Linked DNA regions of Stegostoma tigrinum. The protein of the gene in region 1 purifies or fractionates together with the protein of each later gene. This does not show direct contact. Links are inferred from orthologs where the notes say so. Each region holds a gene or a part of one and is shown on either strand. Other genes may lie near its edges.

What was found. Proteins that work in one complex are often made in the same cells at the same time.
Region 2: the proteins of foxo1a (region 1) and atg7 purify together in Homo sapiens (affinity purification with western blotting; 4 studies listed by BioGRID). This does not show direct contact. The link is inferred for Stegostoma tigrinum from reciprocal best matches to the Homo sapiens genes FOXO1 and ATG7.

The regions. Positions count from the first base shown.
Region 1 is NC_081359.1:88,063,836-88,074,865, forward strand, and holds the start of foxo1a (forkhead box protein O1-A), read right to left. Parts: upstream 4,358-11,030; 5' UTR 3,955-4,357; coding exon 3,361-3,954; intron 1-3,360. UniProt on the Homo sapiens protein: Transcription factor that is the main target of insulin signaling and regulates metabolic homeostasis in response to oxidative stress.
Region 2 is NC_081364.1:23,882,828-23,893,081, forward strand, and holds the start of atg7 (ubiquitin-like modifier-activating enzyme ATG7), read left to right. Parts: upstream 1-6,024; 5' UTR 6,025-6,069; coding exon 6,070-6,223; intron 6,224-6,396; coding exon 6,397-6,451; intron 6,452-8,960; coding exon 8,961-9,078; intron 9,079-10,254. UniProt on the Homo sapiens protein: E1-like activating enzyme involved in the 2 ubiquitin-like systems required for cytoplasm to vacuole transport (Cvt) and autophagy.

The DNA.
Region 1 (11,030 bases):
TTTATGAGTATTTTGACTCAAACTCTATTTATGCTTAAATAATGTGCTGGAACATAGCTGCTTTCAGTTGGCAGTTTCCATTTGCTCTGTTTTACAGCTATATCATTCTCATGAATCTCCTGAAAATAATGGGAAAGTACAAAAGTATATGTAACTTTTGAAAAAAAGTAAACTGTATATTTTACAATTAGTCACTATTCGAAAGTCAATTCCCCTCACTCATTTGCCACTCAATCAGCAGTCAGGTTTGTCAAGAAATGAGTCATGGGCTATGGTGTTGGAGGTAAGGTTAATAAAGTGGGATTGAAAACCAGTTTAGTCATAATATTGTGGATCTGGCTGGCAGGGCCGAAAGGCCTAATCTTGCCCCTAAACCCAATATTCCTAAACTCTATCAGTGATAATGGGAACTGCAGATGCTGGAGAATCCAAGATAATAAAATGTGAGGCTGGATGAACACAGCAGGCCCAGCAGCATCTCAGGAGCACAAAAGCTGACGTTTCGGGCCTAGACCCTTTGCTTGTTTTTTTTTTGTATGGTATGCACCCCCGTAGAACAGAGTCAGGACTTAGAACATGGCTCCAGTGCCAAAAAGAAGGCAGAAGTAAAAAAAAATCTCATTGTACCAGAATGTGAACCACAGATCTGTCATCTTCAGCACCTCTATGAACATGTCATTGAGTACTAATACATTTGACATTGATGCATTTGGTCTGATGACTTCAAAGTCACTGCAATGGTTACTGAATGGAATCAATATTTTATTCCACCATATTTAAAATATTAAGACATTTTAATAAGCGATATTCACCGGTGCAATTGTAATTTGAGCTGGAGCCACCCAACGTCTGCACCTGCCAGGCTCCAAAACAAATGACTAAGAAGGGTATTTTCTATTATATAAAAGAAGTTCCATGCCTCAAAAGGTCCGTCATTATTAGAGTTTACAGGACAGGTAATTCCCACCTAATGACTTAATTTATATTCCAAGCTGGTAGTAACGTAAACATTGAACAGTTCAAATGGGTTCAAATGAGTCAATTCTGAAAAATGTGTTATTTTCCAATCTATAAGGAAATGCATCACTGCTTATTGTGGCTGTTTTGCCGGAAGATGTAAAAATAACGAACCGTTCCGCTAGCTGGTGCTGTTTTTTTCGCTCAACAAAGAGTATAGCACAATTCATTTGACAGAAACGTCAAATCCATTTCCATTCTGATATCAAAAACAAGTCTGCGCCACAAAACATAGAAAATACAGCTACAAAAACACATGAAACTGTTCCAAGTTGGTGCCAGTCACGAAAGAAAGCGGAAAGCCGACAAAGGAACAGCTCACAATCTGACTCGAAGTTTTTCTTATTTATCTGAGCCGTTTTCCTTTTTGTCCCCAAAACTACGATTGCCCCTTCTCCAAAAATGTGGAAAAATACATAACCAACGTGAGCCTAGTTTCCCGACAAAAGGGAAGGAGAGGATGGTGGAGGAAAGCGGGAGGAGGTTAGAATTACAATTCGTCGAGATCTTTGCGTAACTTTGGTTTCTGTCAATGAGTCAGTCTCTCTCCTCCTCCCCCCCGCCACCGCCGCCTGTCACTGGACTGATACATCGCTCCGCGAAACGTCAAGCTTGCCTTCCCCGAACGATCGGCAGAGGGCTCTACCCAACCGGAGCCGCAAATGCCCTTGCAAGCCCCACGCGGTGACACTGTTAGTCCAATCACGTCAGGGCAAGGGCGGGACCAAGCAAGGGCAGCAGGTTAGGATGCGGATGTGAGTGACGGACGCGTGCGATCCTGATTGAAACAACAACATTCAGGGACAAACTGGCAGATGCGACCGGCCGACTGCATGCGTGATTCATCCAACAACTATGATTCCTATTGTACCGACATGACAAAATGACTAACACACAGAGCGAGGGAGAAAGAAAGGCTCCATATCAGGTCAGACAAAAATCAGGGCTGCAAGACTGTTTCCACTTAAAAACTTTAAAAAACGAGAAAAGAAATGATGCGCCGTTTGGATATTGCGATGCACTCCAAACTAATGTCCGCCCCAAGATTCAGAGGCCATGGACATACAAGTTAAAGTGCATTCGAGAGGTGCAAACCAAACCACACCACAGACTTCAATGTGAACATGGGGCCCGGGGTGGTCATTTAAATGCAAGTCAACCAATTAAACTTTTTGAACCGGATATATACAGTACGGTATTTTGGCAACATTTTTAAGTCTTTGGTTTAAACATGTGCGCAACTAATCTCGGACTTCCTTAGCGCATTTTAAAAAAGGGTATCACGCTACAGATTTCCATTACCTTGTCTTGCTCTTCAAAAATGCTGGCTATCCCCTGTCTTACTAGCAATTTCAAATACGACAGATTCATGATTGTTCAAGCAATGCTACCTCTTGCATCGAGTCCTGTATATACTAAATCGCCATAATGGTCTGGGTTGAATTAATAATGCAGCTCATGGGAAAACCGAGAGCTGCTCAACAGTTAACATTTATTCCGAATATTTCTGACATTCTCTTCCTCACTAGTCCGTCGTTAGTATCTTCCGCCCCCACCCCTTCGAAAGAGAAATTAATTGCTGGCCATACAGAAATCTACCATGAACCTATATAATGGCACAAAACTGTTCTATTTGGTTTGGGAAACTGGGAACGTACGTCAGACAGTATTGATTTATTTACACGTCACTCGGCCAAGGCTATACATGTTGTGACAATAATGAAAAATTAAAAATAAAAGACAGTGCGTGTTCATCAGGGCAGAATTTCCTGACTTTCTAACCCTGATTTGTTGTGGAAGATGCTATCCGTTTTCTTTCTCAACTTTCATGTTGGAAATCCACCGTGAAGCGATCAGTGTTTGAGAGAGAGCAGCCGCTTACCTAATCGGCAATTCCTTGGTAACTAAGTAGACCCACTAGAACTGTTTTGATCACACGTGCGATTTTCCACTGAACACAATATTATCCCACTCTCCAAAACAGGTGATAAAATATGATAAAATTGGCGACCTTCATCTCTGCGGGCTGCACAATCTATGATTAGCAGTAAATCATTTAAAAGGTTCAGCTTTTTTTAAAAACAGCTGTATTTTGCAGTCCTGAAAGCGGAATATTTAAACAGTCTCAGATCTTTGAGAGTCATTCCTATCATTCCCATCAGACTTCCTTCCTGCTGGACAACAACCGGCGCTAAGTGGATTTGGGAAATAGAATAACCTTACAATATCGATTCAACCAAAACTTGTGTTCCTAAACAAAAACTGAACTGGTTTTATTTAACGTGTATATACGTATGTTACAAAGTTTAAAAGATTTTAAACCAAATACTATTTTGCACCCACCTTCCACCCAGCAGAGCTGTTACTGTCTCCTTTATCCTTGAAGTAGGGGACGCTCCTGACCATCCAGTCATAGATTTGGGATAAGGTGAGCCTCTTCTCCGGGGAGCTCTCGATAGCTTTGGTGATGAGGTCGGCATATGATAGGTTCCCCCAAGCGTTTCTCCGAGATGAACTGCTCTTTCTCTGGGCTGCCGAAGCGGCCCCGGCCGAGGGGACTTGCTGCTGCTGCTGCTGCTGCTGCTGGTGCTGGTGGTGGTGCTGGTGCTGATGTTGATGGTGACAGCCATCCTGATGTTGTTGATGCTGACACTGGAAGTCACCGCAGCAATCCAGTCCGAGAACGGCGGGCTTCTGCTCATAGTCCTCGTCCTGCTCCTCCAGCACCAGAGCCGGCGATACCGAAGCGCTCGCCCGGCCGGCCCCTTCCGGGGTCAGGTTGAACTCGCTCTGCCCTTCTTGCTTCACCGAAGCCGGGGACGACGCGCAGCTGAAATCCGGCCGGGGTAAGGGCCAGGTGCAGGAACGGGGCCGGGATTGCGGCTCGAAATCGGGGTCGATCTCTACGACCTGTTGCAGCGGCGGTGCCTCGGCCATGACTGAAGTTTTGAAGTTTGTTTTCCTCCCTCTGTCTCTCTCTAAATGTCTGTCTGTCTCTATTCCCCCCCCACCCCACCTTTCTCTCTCAGCTTTAAACACAACACGCGAGGAGTAAAAAAAAACTTTTCCTTCTGAAAAAAAAGTTACTTCGTCGCTTGGGGCAGCAAGAAAAATATAATGTCCCTCCTGACAAAAAAAACTCTAAAAAAGACCGATTTCCAACAACAGAAAAGAAGCCACACAGAAAACAAGCACAAAACGATCTATTTGCTACTACACGTTGACAAAACACTAATAACAATAATAACGCTCATAGACCTTCCTGACCCTGTCGTACCATTTGTCCTACTTTCCTCTCTCTGTACAGACAAGCGCTGTATTGTACTCCGGGCCGAGCCGCCTAACCTGATGGCTCTGCGTGACAAAGGGAGAGGGCGGAGACAGCCTGACGGGCGGCTGGGTGATCCAATCGACATCGCAAGCCGGGGGCCACTGGCCAATGGAATTCCAGGAGACCCTGGAACCTTCCCGCCCCCTTCTTTCCTCTCCCCCGCCTCAAACACTGGCTCCCCCCGCCCCCCACCTCCTAATTCAAGTTAGGTTGATGAGGCGGAGCTCATCAAAGTCCGCCCACCAACATGAGTAAACACATGGTGGGGAGCTTACTCACGCATAAAAACAAACACGTACAGACACACAGCCATTTTGACAGCCCGACAGTGGACTTCATATCTGAAAAATGAAACAGGTTACGGAGAGGACGGCTAGAGAGAGGTTTGAAGTCCCCCAGGAACTCAAGGGAACGTGTTTGCTCCCGACCGAACATGGTGGCTTTGCAAAATCCAGAAGGACGGTGTCATTTATTCAAGTCCTGAAAATTAAAGTCGACAGACGTGCACCCAGCCTAATTCGATTTGCGGGGCAGCCTTTGAAAACTCTACAACCTGAATCTAACAGTGATTTTGGGAAAGTGCGTGAGAATGCCTGAGGCTGCACGCCCTGTTCTCCAGCAGACCTGTAGTATTTCTGGAACAGTGGTTAACCAACGTCAAATATTGACAGATTTCTTACCCCCCCCGAAAAAAAACCTGAGTCACTTCCTCACCGACAAATGGACCAGACACCCGACTTCAGTCCTGAAATTAGTTCAATCTGGAGTTTGTTTACTTGGAATATATTCTGCATTTTGTGGATCAGAACTGAATCCCTGAGTTCAACACGAGTTCACTCTAACTTTGTCACCCGTGTCAATACGGTTTGAGCTCCGCCTCCGACGTTACCTGTTAGAAGGAGAGACATATGTTGTTCCCTTTAAAGTTGACAGATTTGAACGCGATGACTAAAATGGTGATATGTTTTCTTTTAAAAAAAATAATAACTTCACAATGATGTTGAAGTTCAAAGAAGGTTGGAACAGCGACAATAGATGTAATCAGTTTGCATATTTTGGCTTCGTTTCGAAGCTAAATCTAAAGGAAGGCGTTGAAATTAGACACGATAAATCCTTTAAATGCTGAGGTTTTATCGAGAAGAAAATATTTTCTAAATAGGAACTACCATGTCAGACTATCGCAAATTTTCTTCCGTTCACAGCATGTCAACCAAACGATTCCACATCTAAAGCAATCCTAAAACGGTGTTTTATTTCTGTTTACCGGACCCGTCTCCATCCGAAACGTCAGCTTTTGTGCTCCTGAGATGCTGCTTGGCCTGCTGTGTTCATCCAGCTCCACACTTTGTTATCTTGGATTCTGCAGCATCCGCAGTTTCCATTATCACTCCATCTATTCACAAGTCGTTACACTGCAATCTCCCTGAAAGCACTTCTGCTGGTTACATCTACAGTACCAACTCAATCAAGCTTACCCTACCTGAAATTAAAACATACTTTCAAAGGATATTCATGTCAGAGATTAGTCAAAGCAGCTAAAATATTTTACCAACTCAACTGGCACGTGGGCCTAATTTTGACATTTCCAACGTAATTTGTACATAAGCGACGATAAACATTTCCATAAGAAGCATTTAAATAATCGAACACTTCAATCAAAATCGAAAGCAGAAATAACGCCCTGAAGCATGCGGGAAATGTGTTGAATGCTACAAAGAGAAAAAGTTCATGGGAGCATTATGACAATCTTGGGTCACCTTAACTGAGCAGCAGGTGTTGGATTAATGATTAGTGTAGCTGATGCATTTTCACCGACAGATTGATTATGATATTAAAAGTTGATTCCAAAAAAATCAATAATGTACTTGGGCCATGACATAACATTTAATGTACACATTATTGCCATAAGATTAATTAAAGCTGCAAGTCAGAGGCTATTATATAAAAGCTTTAAATTTCAAAAGGCTACAATGTTACTTATAGTAAAATGAATATTTGCCAATATTTTTGCAATTAACAATTCTTGGGATTACTTGCATTTCCTGAACTTTTGTGACTGCAATGTAAACACAGTTAAAAATAATGTTGTCACCTAACTTTTTCTCCCCCAATGGTCTTCTTTCTCTTCCGCAGGATGTGACTCTTCCACAGGTGCCAGTGACACTTAAGTATCTAATCATTCTTCATAAATATTCCTGACATTGAATGTTCATAGGTTTTCCACTCTTAGTGGCTCCACAACCAGATGCATGCCCATTCTTACATGATGTACACATGCACATGTTTTCCAATAAGAATCAGTGAACAACTGAACATCAGCTTTCCTACAGTCAATTATCATCTGACAACTGCTAAAACCGACATCCTTCTCTCATAGTCCCCCTGCACCTCATACTGCAGTTCCAGCTGAGATCAACTAACTCAACAAAAATTGGGACAATAGTATTTACAAAGTGGAGATAAAATTATGGGTTTAATTTCCATTGTGATCATGAACGTTTGTAGTATGAACCTGTGCAACAGTGTTCTTCCTACTTCACGTTTTTTGTTCTTCCTAGTCCATACTTATGAATTGAAATTGTCATCATTCACATACTTTGTTAATTTCTCTCTAGCTGTTCTCTCTTGTTCAATAGCATTCTGCCTAACTGGAAATTAACATTCATGCTTTACCCTTGCACAGGTTTAATATTTATAAATAAATATTTGTGATGGACTGACCTACAGTGATCAAAACACACATCTTCCAATTACAGGACTTGGATCCAGATTCAGCCCAGATTGCTCCTATGTGTACCATCCATTTACTGGACAAAAAGTGAGATTGAATCCAGATTTTAGCTGGATAGGCCTCAGTATAAAATTTCTAATCTTATTGGAAGTAACACTGAAAAGCTGGAGTGAAAATTGGACAAACATTATCTTGATGCACTAAGGAATGCTCTCGGTGCTGAGTTCGGGAAGAATTACAGTAAAGTTTTCCTCAGGAATATGGTATAACTAACCTGAAATAAGAGGTTGTTCCATACCCAGGCCCTTAACACCAATGGTACCCTACATATTTCTAACCATAATGCAGTTGGATTGTTTTGTTCTTTTGTACTCCGGCCTACTCGATGAGGTCTCTTTTTATACATTTCCACTATGTTTTTGGCTGCTACTTAGTCCATGTGCTCCAGGTGTGTCACCAACAATGCCTGTTTGCTCAGAACGTTGTTTTCAGATTTGAACATGATCCCAAGATGATGAACACTTTCCCTTCCGTGTTTTTTTCTAAACATAGTAATAATGATGACACTGGACAAGAGTTCTTGATTTTGTAAGTCCAAGAGTCCAGTGTCACTAATTAAATATCAATTATTGACAGAATGTGCCCAGCAATCTAGTTCAACACAGTTAAAAAACAGTTTTGTAACAAATATTCTTCTGATCTTGCTGACATATAATTTACTAGTATATTGTGTCTTTAACATAAATAACAACTTCCCAATGTCTCCACGCACACAATGAGACAAAATTTGAAAGCAAGTCTCATAAGGAGTTATTAGGATCGATTTAGAGGAGGAGACAGAGAATGAGGGCCGGGGGGTTTGGGATGTAATTCAGATTTAGGGCTTGGGATGCTGAAGGCATGGACATTGATGGTGGTGAAATTAAAACCAGTGGATGGAGTAAGAAATCAAAATCGGAAAAGCATTAAGACCTTGGAAAGTTAGGTTGGAGATAGGGAAAGGCAAAGCCTAATGGGGATTTGAACACAAAAATGAACATTTTAAAATCAAGACTTTGCTGACTGGGAGCTAATGTAAATTAGCTGGCAAAGGGAGGATACGTGAACTGGACTGAGCGTGAATTAGGATGTGGACATCAGCATTTCAAATAAACTCTATTTTACAGACAATAGAAAGTGGCAAGCTGGCCTATAGAGTAATAGTTGAGATTGGTAGTAACAAGGCAGGATTCCAGCTGCAGGTGAGCTCAAGTAGGGATGGAGAGAACTGCTATTACAGCGCTGACAGTAGACCATCTTGGTTTTGAAGATGAAATGATGTTGATAGCTTAGTTCAAAATCGTTAAGGATGATGAGGTTGCTAACAGTCTGATTCAGCCTTAGACAATGGCCACTAAGCAGGATGGAACTGTTGACTAAAGAATGGAGTTTGCGGCAGGACTCTGGCCTTCACAGTAGTTAAATACCTTCTTGTTAACCACGTTATACTTTCATGCCTGAGACAGCGTAACAACAATCTATTAGCCTTTGAAGAAATAGAATTGCATTCCGACATATATGTTTTAAATCATTATTAAATGAAGTGACAATATTTTAACATGTACTCAAAATCTAGGCTCAATTCCTTCTTTTGAATGCATTAACTAATCCCAACTGGGACAGGGGAGGAGTGTTATATTTTGCCCTGAATGCTCTGAACAAAGAGGGACCAAAATACTGCTTGCTATCCAGTCATTTATGTGCAAAACACCTGTGAATTAAAGCATGACATTCCCATGATAAAAAGATTCTTGATGACACTTATTCTCAAGGTGTGTGCATGAATAATAGTGTCTTGGGTGAGGCAATGATGAGCAACTGCACTCTCACAATGAGTCAACACCCTTCAGGGACAGAAGATCAGAAAATGGCTAAGAATTCCACTAACCAAAAAGTAAATAAAACTAAGTTTGTAGTGAATGAAACCTTTGAAGAGCAGGTGTGCATGCTGGAATGGATAGAGATAGAGGAAGCTGATGTACTGAAAATTTTGTCAAACATTAAGATTGACAAGTCGCCAGGCCCGGACCAGATTTGTCCTCGGCCTCTTTGGGAAGCGAGAAATGCAATTGCTTCGCCGCTTGCGAAGATCTTTGCATCCTCGCTGTCCACTGGAGTCGTACCTGAGGACTGGAGAGAGGCAAATGTAATTCCTCTCTTCAAGAAAGGAAATAGGGAAATCCCCGGCAATTATAGACCGGTAAGTCTCACGTCTGTCGTCTGCAAGGTGTTAGAAAGGATTCTGAGGGATAAGATTTATGACCATCTGGAAGAGCATGGCTTGATCAAATACAGTCAACACGGCTTTGTGAGGGGTAGGTCATGTCTTACAAACCTTATCGAGTTTTTTGAGGATGTGACTAGAAAAGTTGATGAGGGTCGAGCTGTGGATGTGGTGTATATGGACTTCAGTAAGGCATTTGATAAGGTTCCCCATGGTAGGCTCATTCAGAAGGTCAGGAGGAATGGGATACAGGGGAACTTGGCTGCTTGGATACAGAATTGGCTGGCCAACAGAAGACAGCGAGTGGTAGTAGAAGGAAAATATTCTGCCTGGAAGTCAGTGGTGAGTGGGGTTCCACAGGGCTCTGTCCTTGGGCCTCTACTGTTTGTAATTTTTATTAATGACTTGGATGAGGGGATTGAAGGATGGGTCAGCAAGTTTGCAGACGACACAAAGGTCGGAGGTGTCGTTGACAGTGTAGAGGGCTGTTGTAGGCTGCAGCGGGACATTGACAGGATGCAGAGATGGGCTGAGAGGTGGCAGATGGAGTTCAACCTGGATAAATGCGAGGTGATGCATTTTGGAAGGTCGAATTTGAAAGCTGAGTACAGGATTAAGGATAGGATTCTTGGCAGCGTGGAGGAACAGAGGGATTTTGGTGTGCAGATACATAGATCCCTTAAAATGGCCACCCAAGTGGACAGGGTTGTTAAGAAAGCATATGGTGTTTTGGCTTTCATTAACAGGGGGCTTGAGTTTAAGAGTCGTGAGATCTTGTTGCAGCTCTATAAAACTTTGGTTAGACTGCACTTGGAATACTGCGTCCAGTTCTGGTCGCCGTATTATAGGAAAGATGTGGATGCTTTGGAGAGGGTTCAGAGGAGGTTTACCAGGATGCTGCCTGGACTGGAGGGCTTATCTTATGAAGAGAGGTTGACTGAGCTCGGTGTCTTTTCATTGGAGAAAAGGAGGAGGAGAGGGGACCTAATTGAGGTATACAAGATAATGAGAGGCATAGATAGATTTGATAGCCAGAGACTATTTCCCAGGGCAGAAATGGCTAGCACGAGGGGTCATAGTTTTAAGCTGGTTGGTGGGAAGTATAGAGGGGATGTCAGAGGCAGGTTCTTTACGCAGAGAGTTGTGAGAGCATGGAATGCGTTGCCAGCAGCAGTTGTGGAAGCAAGGTCATTGGGGTCATTTAAGAGACTGCTGGACATGTATATGGTCACAGAAATTTGAGGGTGCATACATGAGGATCAATGGTCGGCACAACACTGTGGGCTGAAGGGCCTGTTCTGTGCTGTACTGTTCTATGTTCTATGTTCTATGTAAGTTTGAAGTGTTAAACACACCTCATCATTTCCTTCCCAATTTGAGAGTTTTGTTTTTACTTCTGCTCCAGTGGCAATGGCTCTACTGCCATTGGCTTCCATGTTCTTTGACAAGGGATCTCACTCCTGCTCATAGTCTAGTGACCCCTGCTGGAAAACACCCATACGTTCATACTTTATGGCTTTAGTTGTGATGCTCATCACAAAAAAGTAGATTGTTAATATTCACAGTTTTGGTTTACATATAAATGATACCACTTGGATGTGGTGTTACTGGACAACTGCCAGCTCTGCAGTAACTGCATCCACAATAAAAGTTACGACCTTCAGGGGAGAAAACAAAAAAATAGAAGA
Region 2 (10,254 bases), on another chromosome or scaffold:
TAGCTGCAACTCTACTTTCAAGGAACTATGAACCTCCAAGGTATCTTTGTTCAGCAACATTCCCCAGGACCTTACCATTAAGTGTACAAGTCCTGCCCTGATTTGTGTTTCCAAAATGCAACACCTCACATTTCTCTAAATCAAACTCAATCTGCCACTCTTCAGCTCATTGGCCCATCTAATCAAGATCCCATTGTATACTGAGGTAGCCTTCTTGGCTGTTCATTACACCACCAATTTTAGTGTTATCCACAAACTCTCTAACCATATCTCCTATGTTCACATCAAAATCATTTATATAAATGATGAAAAGTAGTGGACCGAGCACCAATCCTTGTGGCACATTGGTGATCACAGACCTCCAGTCCAAAAAGTAACCCTCTGACGAAGAAATGCCATATATTAAATAAGACAATGAGTAATACTCTAAATTGTACTGTTAATGTTTTTAAACTGTGCTTTTCTTTATAGTAACATTAGAATGACCAAAGACTGCACGGTTCTCGGTGTCTTCATGACAAACATGAAGGACAAACATGACAAAATTTATTTTTAATCTCAACAACATGATAAACTATCACATAAAATACAATTAAAGTGTGGCTTGTTCTCCTGAAGAAGTGGAAATAGAAATTGCTAAGAAATTAAGCTTGATTGCAATTGACTTATTCTTGCAATGAAGTGAAAGTTATATCTTTATTTATAACTAGTCCAATGATATTGAAGAGATAGACCAGTTACACAAAAAGTTCCATAAAAAGGTATCTTTTCCATGATAATACAATGTGAGGCTGGATGAACACAGCAGGCCAAGCAGCATCTCAGGAGCACAAACGCTGACGTTTCGGGCTTCGACCCTTCATCAGAGAGGGGGATGGGGAGAGGGTTCTGGAATAAATAGGGAGAGAGGGGGAGGCGGACCGAAGATGGAGAGAAAAGAAGACAGGTGGAGAGGAGAGTATAGGTGGGGAGGTAGGGAGGGGATAGGTCAGTCCAGGGAAGACAGACAGGTCAAGGAAGCGGGATGAGGTTAGTAGGTAGGAGATGGAGGTGCAGCTTGGGGTGGGAGGAAGGGATGGGTGAGAGGAAGAACAGATTAGGGAGGCAGAGACTGGTTGGACTGGTTTTGGGATGCAGTGGGTGGAGGGGAAGAGCTGGGCTGGTTGTATGGTGCAGTCGGGGGAGGGGACGAACTGGGCTGGTTTTGGGATGCGGTGGGGGAAGGGGAGATTTTGAAGCTGGTGAAGTCCACATTGATGCCATTGGGCTGCAGGGTTCCCAAGTGGAATATGAGTTGCTGTTCCTGCAACCTTCGGGTGGCATCACTGTGGCACTGCAGGAGGCCCATGATGGACATGTCATCTAAAGAATGGGAGGGGGAGTGGAAATGGTTTGCGACTGGGAGGTGCAGTTGCTTATTGCGAACGAAGCGGAGGTGTTCTGCAAAGCGGTCCCCAAGCCTCCGCTTGGTTTCCCCAATGTAGAGGTAGCCACACCGGGTACAATGGATGCAGTATACCACATTGGCAGATGTGCAGGTGAACCTCTGCTTAATATGGAAAGTCATCTTGGGGCCTGGGATAGGGGTGAGGGAGGAGGTGTGGGGGCAAGTGTAGCATTTCCTGCGGTGGCAGGGGAAGGTGCCGGGTGTGGTGGAATTGGAGGGCAGTGTGGAGCGAACAAGGGAGTCACGGAGAGAGTGGTCTCTCTGGAAAGCTGACAAGGGTGGGGACGGAAAAATGTCTTGGGTGGTGGGGTCGCATTGTAGATGGCGGAAGTGTCGGAGGATGATGCGTTGTATCCGGAGGTTGGTGGGGTGGTGTGTGAGAACGAGGGGGATCCTCTTTGGGCAGTTGTGGCGGGGGCGGGGTGTGAGGGATGTGTTGCGGGAAATGCGGGAGACGCGGTCAAGGGCGTCCTCGACCACTATGGGGGGAAAGTTGTGGTCCTTGAAGAATTTGGACATCTGGGATGTGCGGGAGTGGAATGCCTCATCGTGGGAGCAGATGCGGCGGAGGCAGAGGAATTGGGAACGGGGATGGAATTTTTGCAGGAGGGTGGGTGGGAGGAGGTGTATTCTAGGTAGCTGTGGGAGTCGGTGGATTTGAAACGGACATCAGTTACAAGCTGGTTGCCTGAGATGGAGACTGAGAGGTCCAGGAAGGTGAGGGATGTGCTGGAGATGGCCCAGGTGAACTGAAGGTTGGGGTGGAAGTTGTTGGTGAAGTGGATGAACTGTTCGAGGTCCTCTGGGGAGCAAGAGGTGGCGCCGATACAGTCATCAATGTAATGGAGGAAGAGATGGGGTTTGGGGCCTGTGTAGGTGCAGAAGAGGGACTGTTCCACATAACCTACAAAGAGGCAGGGATAGCTGGGGCCCATGCGGGTGCCCATGGCCACCCCTTTTGTCTGTAGGAAGTGGGAGGAATCGAAAGAAAAGTTGTTGAGGGTGAGGACGAGTTCGGCTATGCGGATGAGGGTGTCAGTGGAGGGGGACTGGTCGGGCCTGCGGGACAGGAAGAAGCGGAGGGCCTTGAGGCCATCTGCTTGCGGAATACAGGTGTATAGGAACTGGACGTCCATGGTGAAAATGAGGTGTTGGGGGCCAGGGAATCGGAAGCGGTTTCACTTTCAGGTCTCCTTTTCTAATGGTTAAGTTATGAATTATCAAGTATTTATTCTTCCAAATAAAGCTGGCAACCCTTTGTAACCATATTTTGCCCACAGAGCAATTAAGAGTCAAAGAGTTACAATATTTTGGAGTCACAAGAGGCTAGGGTCAGGAACACATAGCAGATTTCCTTTCATGAAGCACATTAAACAGTGAGATTTTTTTATGACAACCAACCAGTTAGGTGACTTTTTTATTCCTGGTTTTGTCGAGTTACTTGTACCAGATGGGGCAAAACGTGCATTAATTATTTTAACATAAGAGCTTGATGTATGGCTGAAGTAGTCCTGAAAGATTTAATTGCCATTTATTACACCTGATATAAACATATATTACAGTCATGGACTAAGATGGGCTCCAAGACTCTTAAAGTATCTGCCATCCTCACCTGGTATGGTCTCCGTGTGACCCCAACCTAAAGCAATGTGGTTGACTCTTAATTGCCCACTGAAATGGCCTAGGAAACCATTCAGTTGTACCAATCACTACAAAGAAATGAAACCAGATCACCTGGCATTGACCTCGGCACTGGAAAAGAGTGGATGATCCATCTTGGCCTGTTCCAGTAGTCCCCAGCATTACAATTACCAGTCTTGATGCCAATTCGATTCACTCCACATGATTTCAAGAAACAGTTAGAGGCACTGGATACTAAAAAAGGCCTGTGCTCTGACAACATTCTAGCATTAGTACTGAAGACTTGGGTTCCAGAACTCGCTGCTCCCCTAGCCAAGCCATTCCAGTAGAGTTCAACACTGGCATCTACCTGATATTGTGGAAAATTGCCCAAGTATATCCTGTACATAATAAGCAGGACAAATCCAACCTGGCCAATTACCGTCCCATCACTGTATTGTTGATCATCAGTAAAGTGAAGGAAGGTGTCATCAACAGTGTTATCAAGCAGCACATGCTCAGCAATAACCTGCTCAGTGATGCCCTATTTGGGTTCTGCTAGGGATACTCAGCTTCTGACCTCATTATAGCCATGGTTCAAACATGGATAAAAGAGTCGAATTTCAAAGGTGAGGTGATTATAGCCATGGTTCAAACATGGATAAAAGAGTTGAATTTCAAAGGTGAGGTGATTATAGCCATGGTTCAAACATGGATAAAAGAGTTGAATTTCAAAGGTGAGGTGACAGTGATAGTCCTTGACATCAAGGCTGCATTCGACCAAATGTGGCATCAAACAGCCTTCGCTAAACAGGAATCAGTGGGTAATAGGGGGAAAACTGGTGGTTAGCATCATACATGACACATAGCAAGAAAGTCGTGATTGTTGGAGGTCAGTTATCTCAGCTCCAGGGCATCTCTGTGGGAGTTCCTCAGGGTAGTGTTCTCAGGCTAACCATCTTCAGCTGCTTCATCAATGAACTTCCCTCCATCATGAGGTCAGAAGTGGGAATGTTGGCCGAAGATTGCACAATGTTCAGCACCATGCATGACTCCTCAGATACTGAAGCAATCTGTGTCCAAATGCAACAAGATCTGTAAATATCCAGGTTTGGGCTGACAAGTGGCAAGTAACATTCATGGCACACAAGTGCCGGGATATGACCATCACCAATAAGATGCAATCGAACCACTGCCTCTTGACATTCAATGGTGTTGCCATCACTGAATCCCTCAGTGTCAATGTCCTGGGAGTTATCATTGATCAGAAGCTCAACTGGACTCACCACATTAAGCTCAGCGGCTACAAGTGCAGGTCAGAGGCTAGAAATACTGCGGCAAATAAATCACCTCCTGACGCCTCAAAGCCTTTCCAACATCTACAAGGCACAAGTTAGGAGTGTGATGGAACACTCCTCACTTGTCTGGATGAGTGCAACTCCAGCAACGTACAAAAGCTTGACACCATCCAGGATAAAGCAGCCCGCTTGATTGGCACTGTATCCACCAGCATCTACTCCCTCCACCACTGACATTCAGTAGCAGCAGCGTGTACTGTCTACAAGATGCACTGCAGAAATTCACCAAAGATCCACAGACAGTGCCTGCCAAACCCCACAACCACTTCCATCTAGGAGGACAAGGACAATATATTTATGGGAACACTACCACCTTCAAGTTCCCTTCCAAGTCACTCACCAACCTGACTTGGAAATATATTGCCATTCCTTCATTGTTACTCAGTCCAAATCCTGGAATTCGCCTGCTAATGACATTGTGGGTCAACCCACAGCAGGAGGACTGCAGCTGCTCAAGAAGACAACTCGCCACCAAGGACAACTTCTCAAGGGCAACTATCAATGGCCAATAAATGCTGGCCAGCCAGTGAAACTCTCATCTCACAAAATGAATAACGGTCAGATGCTATACATGGTGCTGCTACTTTTTGTGTATCTTAAAGGTATAATAAAGTAGAATACAGACACTGGGAATCTCAAACAAAAACAGTGCTGGAGAAACTCAGCATGTCTGGCAGCATTTGAGAAGAGAGAAACAGAGTTAACATTTTGAGTGTGATATGACTGTCCTTCAAACTTTTTTTTATTTCTCTTAAAGGTATACTGCATACCAGCAGAGAGGCATTCTTCTAGAGACATTTTTCTCAAAAGTTCAAGACTAGTTGGGTTTTCCATGCGTCTCAAATTCTGATCTCTTATGCATTCACAATCATAACTGCTTTACCAATGATGGAATTGCTGTAGGTGGCCTAGATCAAGAGCTCCAAAATTCTGCCCTTCCAGCTCTCCAACACTGTAACGTGCTTTCTTCTAGAGACATTTTTCTCAAAATCGTGCTGACTAAATTTTGATCGTCTGAGCACAAGCTTCTTTCTATGGCTCAGCAACACAGTTTGTTATATTCCACACTCCGGGCATCCTTTGCTACGTGTGAGTATTTGCAATTTGTAAACATGTACAACTCAGTGAGTTCAGGATGTCTGCCCTTCCAAATAATGGCAGTTGCTGCAGCCAAGAGTCATTCAGAGTTTAGGAAGGAGTTTTTGTTTGGTTTTAGTTTTTCTGCAGAATCTGACAGAAATGGTGGAAGGGTCTTTTTTTAGATTCCCTACAGTGTGGAAACAGGCCCTTCAGCCCAACAAGTCCACACCACCCCTTGGAGCATCCCACCCAGACCCATCCCCCCCAAACCCACACACCCCTGTACACTATGGGTAATTTAACATGGCCGATCCACCTAACCTACACATCTTTGGACTGTGGGAGGAAACCGGAGCACCCGGAGGAAACCCACGCAGACACGGGGAGAATGTGCAAACTCCACACAGACAGGACATGGATCTTACATGGACCTGAAAACCCCTCGCTTCGCCCCGCGGTGGTACGGGGCGGGGCTGTCCCGGTGATGTCATCTGTCTGCGCCGAGCGGTGTGACGGACGAACTGCGCCTCAGGCGGCGGCTGGCTCAACGCGGAAGTGTTCGCGATGGACGGCACGGGCTCCGGGCGCCCGGCGTTGCAATTTGCTCCCTTCAGTAGCGCTTTGGACGCAGGTTTCTGGCATGAGCTCACTCAGAGGAAACTGAACGACTACAGACTGGACGAGAGTCCCCGAAATATCAGGGGCTATTACTATAACGGTACCAGCACCTGTGTCGGGGGTGGAGTGGGGAAGCACTGTCCTGGGTTTAATTTGCAAAGGCACCCCCCCGCCACCACCTCTCGATCAAGCATTATTACTGGCTTTATACTTTTAAAAAACTTATTTTAAAGCAGCATGCAGCAAAATAAAATCTATTTTCTTATTTGAAAGGTGATCCTGCTGGACTGCCAACTCGACTAACTTTGGAGTTCAGTGCATTTGATGTGTGAGTAATTGTGGGATCATCAGTGCTTTTTCAGCAGCATTTGAGGGAGTGTAAAAGTGCCTTGTTTAATCTTTGATCACTGCGGTGGTTCTTATTTGTTTTAAGTTGAATCTCAGTAGGTGTCAGTTTTAATTGTTTTGAAAGTTATTTCTATCTGAGAAACTGAATCATTATATTGGAACCTTAGTAAAGATTAGCAGTAACATCAATATTTGCTCTTCACCTACATGGAATTGCCTTTGGCAATGAAACAGTGAGTGCTTTTAAAGAAGCTTTTGTTGCTGCCAATAAACGTGTGTGGCAGCCTTGCCTCATTTCTAAGCTTATCTTAGTTTGTACTGACACATCACTGTAAATGTTGCATTCTCTCTGACATTTGTTAATTGATGGATAAATGTGAAAAGGAAATAGATTGTCATGTATGTATCCTCTGAATAAAACCAAAAACTTCATCTTTCCAGACAGATTATTGAAACATTTTGAAATATGATTTTAAAAAGCTTTATTTACAATGAATGAATCTAAATTAAGAAATGCTATTTTGTAACTGGTAGGTGTTGCTGCAGCTGAATTTTGATGCTAAAGCGTTGCCAAAATTTTAGGTTGAGAGGCTGCTGAATTGTGATCAATTAGCATGTCACCCAGCCACCAGACCTTTTAAAACTTCATTCAAACTAACAGTATCCATTATTCATTAATGAAAGAATTTGCAGCCAGTTGGTAACTTTGAGACTGAGTTTTGATTGCTCCTGCTAGAGATTTAAGGAAAGACTTTATGGTTTCTTTGTGTGCTTTAGGGAGCCCTAAACTGAAATAGACACAAATAGCTGGAGTGAGTGGGGTGACAAAGGGATTATGCATGTGTGCTGGTTGAAGCAGTTAATGTGCATTGAGAGTCACGTGTTATCAGTGAAGTTTTCTGTTTCTTTGTTTCTCTTAAGTATAGGTATGAATCAGAAGTTGAAAATGGGTGCAGTTTTCCATGTTGATTATACCTCAGTAGCCCCGTTCTGCTGCAGGGTGGCTTCTGATGATGAAAGTAACGTAGGCAGCTCATTTCTAGTGCCAATGACTGCCTCCTATTCCCATGAGAAACAGTAATCCATACTGGTGTGGATAGTATAAGTTACTGCTACCAAAACTCCAACTGGGACCAATTAACAATACATTTTGGAATCTAGGTTCAAATAGGCTAATCTGGTTGCCTGGCCATTGATTTTTAATATTGCTAATCTGAATGTCATTGCTGAAGACTGTGTGTACATGATTTTGGAAAAAAAGCTGCATATACAGTTGCTCCTTGTTTATATCATTCTGCAGTAAAAACGCAAATGGAAGTAGCATAAGAGAAAACAGATATTTCCATTAAAAATGGATCAAAAATATAAAAGCAATGTAAATCTATTGTTATATTATAAATATCAGTGTCATTTAGATACAAGTTTTAAATTAAGATCTGATTAACATGACTATATTGGAAACTTCAATTGCCAAAGTTTGTTCCAGAAGCTTGCTATCAGCTGAATTTAATGTTAACATAGCAAACTGCAATATTTTGTATTCTGTTAGTTGGCTGCCTTTTCATGCTTTAAGGATTCAGCAGTGAAAGCATTATTTTCTGTGCCATGATTCAGTTTTAGATAAATCGTCAACCAATTGTTTGTTAGTTCAGGAATTTAGTTTTCTCATGAAACAAATCTTTTATAGTTTGCAGTTCCCCTGTTAATATGGTTCTGGTGATTGTGAGGCTTTTTGTTTTGTTTTGATTTTGAACCTGCCACTGTTACAATGAAATGTGGTGCAGGATGGAGCAGCTCTGCTATTATATCACCATGACTTTAGAATCAATGTGGACGCATTGAAAGAACTACAGCTGAGATCCTAGCTACTTTATTTATGGCAGAAATCACAAACTACTCTCATTTTTTAGCTTGTTCTGTCTCAAACACGTTGATTCCTTGTCAGATTTTTCGATGCTCTCCAACAGTCGTTTGTCACCTTGCTGTTTGTGAGCCTTGACTACAAATGCTATTAGATTATTTTAGTGAGGGCAGGCATCACCTCTGTGCCTCATGTGGCCCATTGATTCACTACTCTCAGTGAGAAGAAATTGTTCCTCATCTCTCTCTTAAACGTGCAGCCTCTTATTCTGAGATTATGCCCTCTGCTCTCAGACTCCTCCACAAGGAGGAGCAACCCTTTTGCGTCTACCCTGTCAAGTTCCCAAAGAATATTGTGTATATGATAAGTGCACAATGTCAAATTTGGTACATTGGTTGAAATGTACTTGTGGCATTAATGTCATTTGTCTATTATTACCTGCAGCATAGAATAGTCTTTCATTTATGTAGTCAACATTGTTCAGTGGCCTTATGGGTCATTTCAATCTACCCAATCAAAGGACACCTTCAGAAATATGATTGAATTCAGACTAAATAATGTTCATCCGAAACAAAGTGTTAACACCCTTCTTACTGGTGTAAGAAAATAATTTTGCATGTTCACTTAGGAATGCTGTGACGCCACCTCGGTGTTGCCCTGCTTTTGGCACTCTGTATAATACCAACACCTTGCAGTCATTTAAATCCACTGATAAAAAGGCTTTGCTGGAGCAAGTGGGAAAAGAGGTGAGTTGCAAAAAGTAACATTCTTTATTCCTTGAGGGTCAGGTGTTTGTGATTTTTATGATGAATAACTTAAAGGAGTGTGGGTTAGATTTTAAAAACTTCATTTATTTACTTGTGTGTTCCTTAAGGACAGTCATTCTTCATTCCTCTTGCTGCTGTTTACAACATATGGTTTGGGTCAGCTGATCCACGGAAACAAGTGGTGAGCATCTGACCAGAATGACAAAAATGATGGTTGTGATTAATTTACCCACACTTTGATAATAGAGAGAGCAGATGCTGATGTCTCGTGATACCAGATTGTGAGGTGATAGCCTAATGTGAACTTCAGTTTGCATTTTAAAAAAGTCAAGGATGCTTATCAGCTATGTTAAGGCAATTTCCCTTTTCACAAACTTTGGTTAATCTGTAAATTTACTAGTGACCGCAAATCAATCTTGTAACACTAACGTTGAATTTAATGTGATAGACAATAGACAATGGGTGCAGGAGTAGGCCATTCGGCCTTTTGAGGCAGCACCACCATTCATTATGATCATGGCTGATCATCCACAGTCAGTATCCTGTTCCTCCCTTATCCCCATAACCCTTGATCCCACTATCGTTAAGAGCTCTATCCATCTCTTTCTTGAAAGTATCCAGAGACTTGGCCTCCACTGCCTTCTGGGGCAGAGCATTCCATATATCCACCACTCTCTGGGTGAAGAGGTTTTCCTCAACTTTTCTAAATGGCCTACCCCTTATTTTTAAACTGTGTCCTCTGGTTCTGGACTTACCTGTCAGCGGAAACATGCTTCCTGCCTCCAAAGTGTTCAATCCCTTAATAATCTTATACATCTCAATCAGATCCCCTCTCATCCTTCTAAACTCAAGTGTATGCCAGCCCAGTCGCTCCAATCTTTCAACATATGATAGTCCCACCATTCTGGAAATTGACCTCGTGAACCTACGCTGCACTCTCTCAATAGCCAGAATGTCCTTCCTCAAATATGGAGACCAAAACTGCACACAATACTCCAGATGCAGTCTCACCAGGGCCCTGTACAACTGCAGAAGGACCTCTTTGCTCCTATACTCAATTACTGTTATTATGAAGGCCAGCATGCCGTTAGCTTTCTTCACTGCCTGCTGTACCTGCATGCTTGCTTTCATTGACTAATGTACAAGAACACCTAG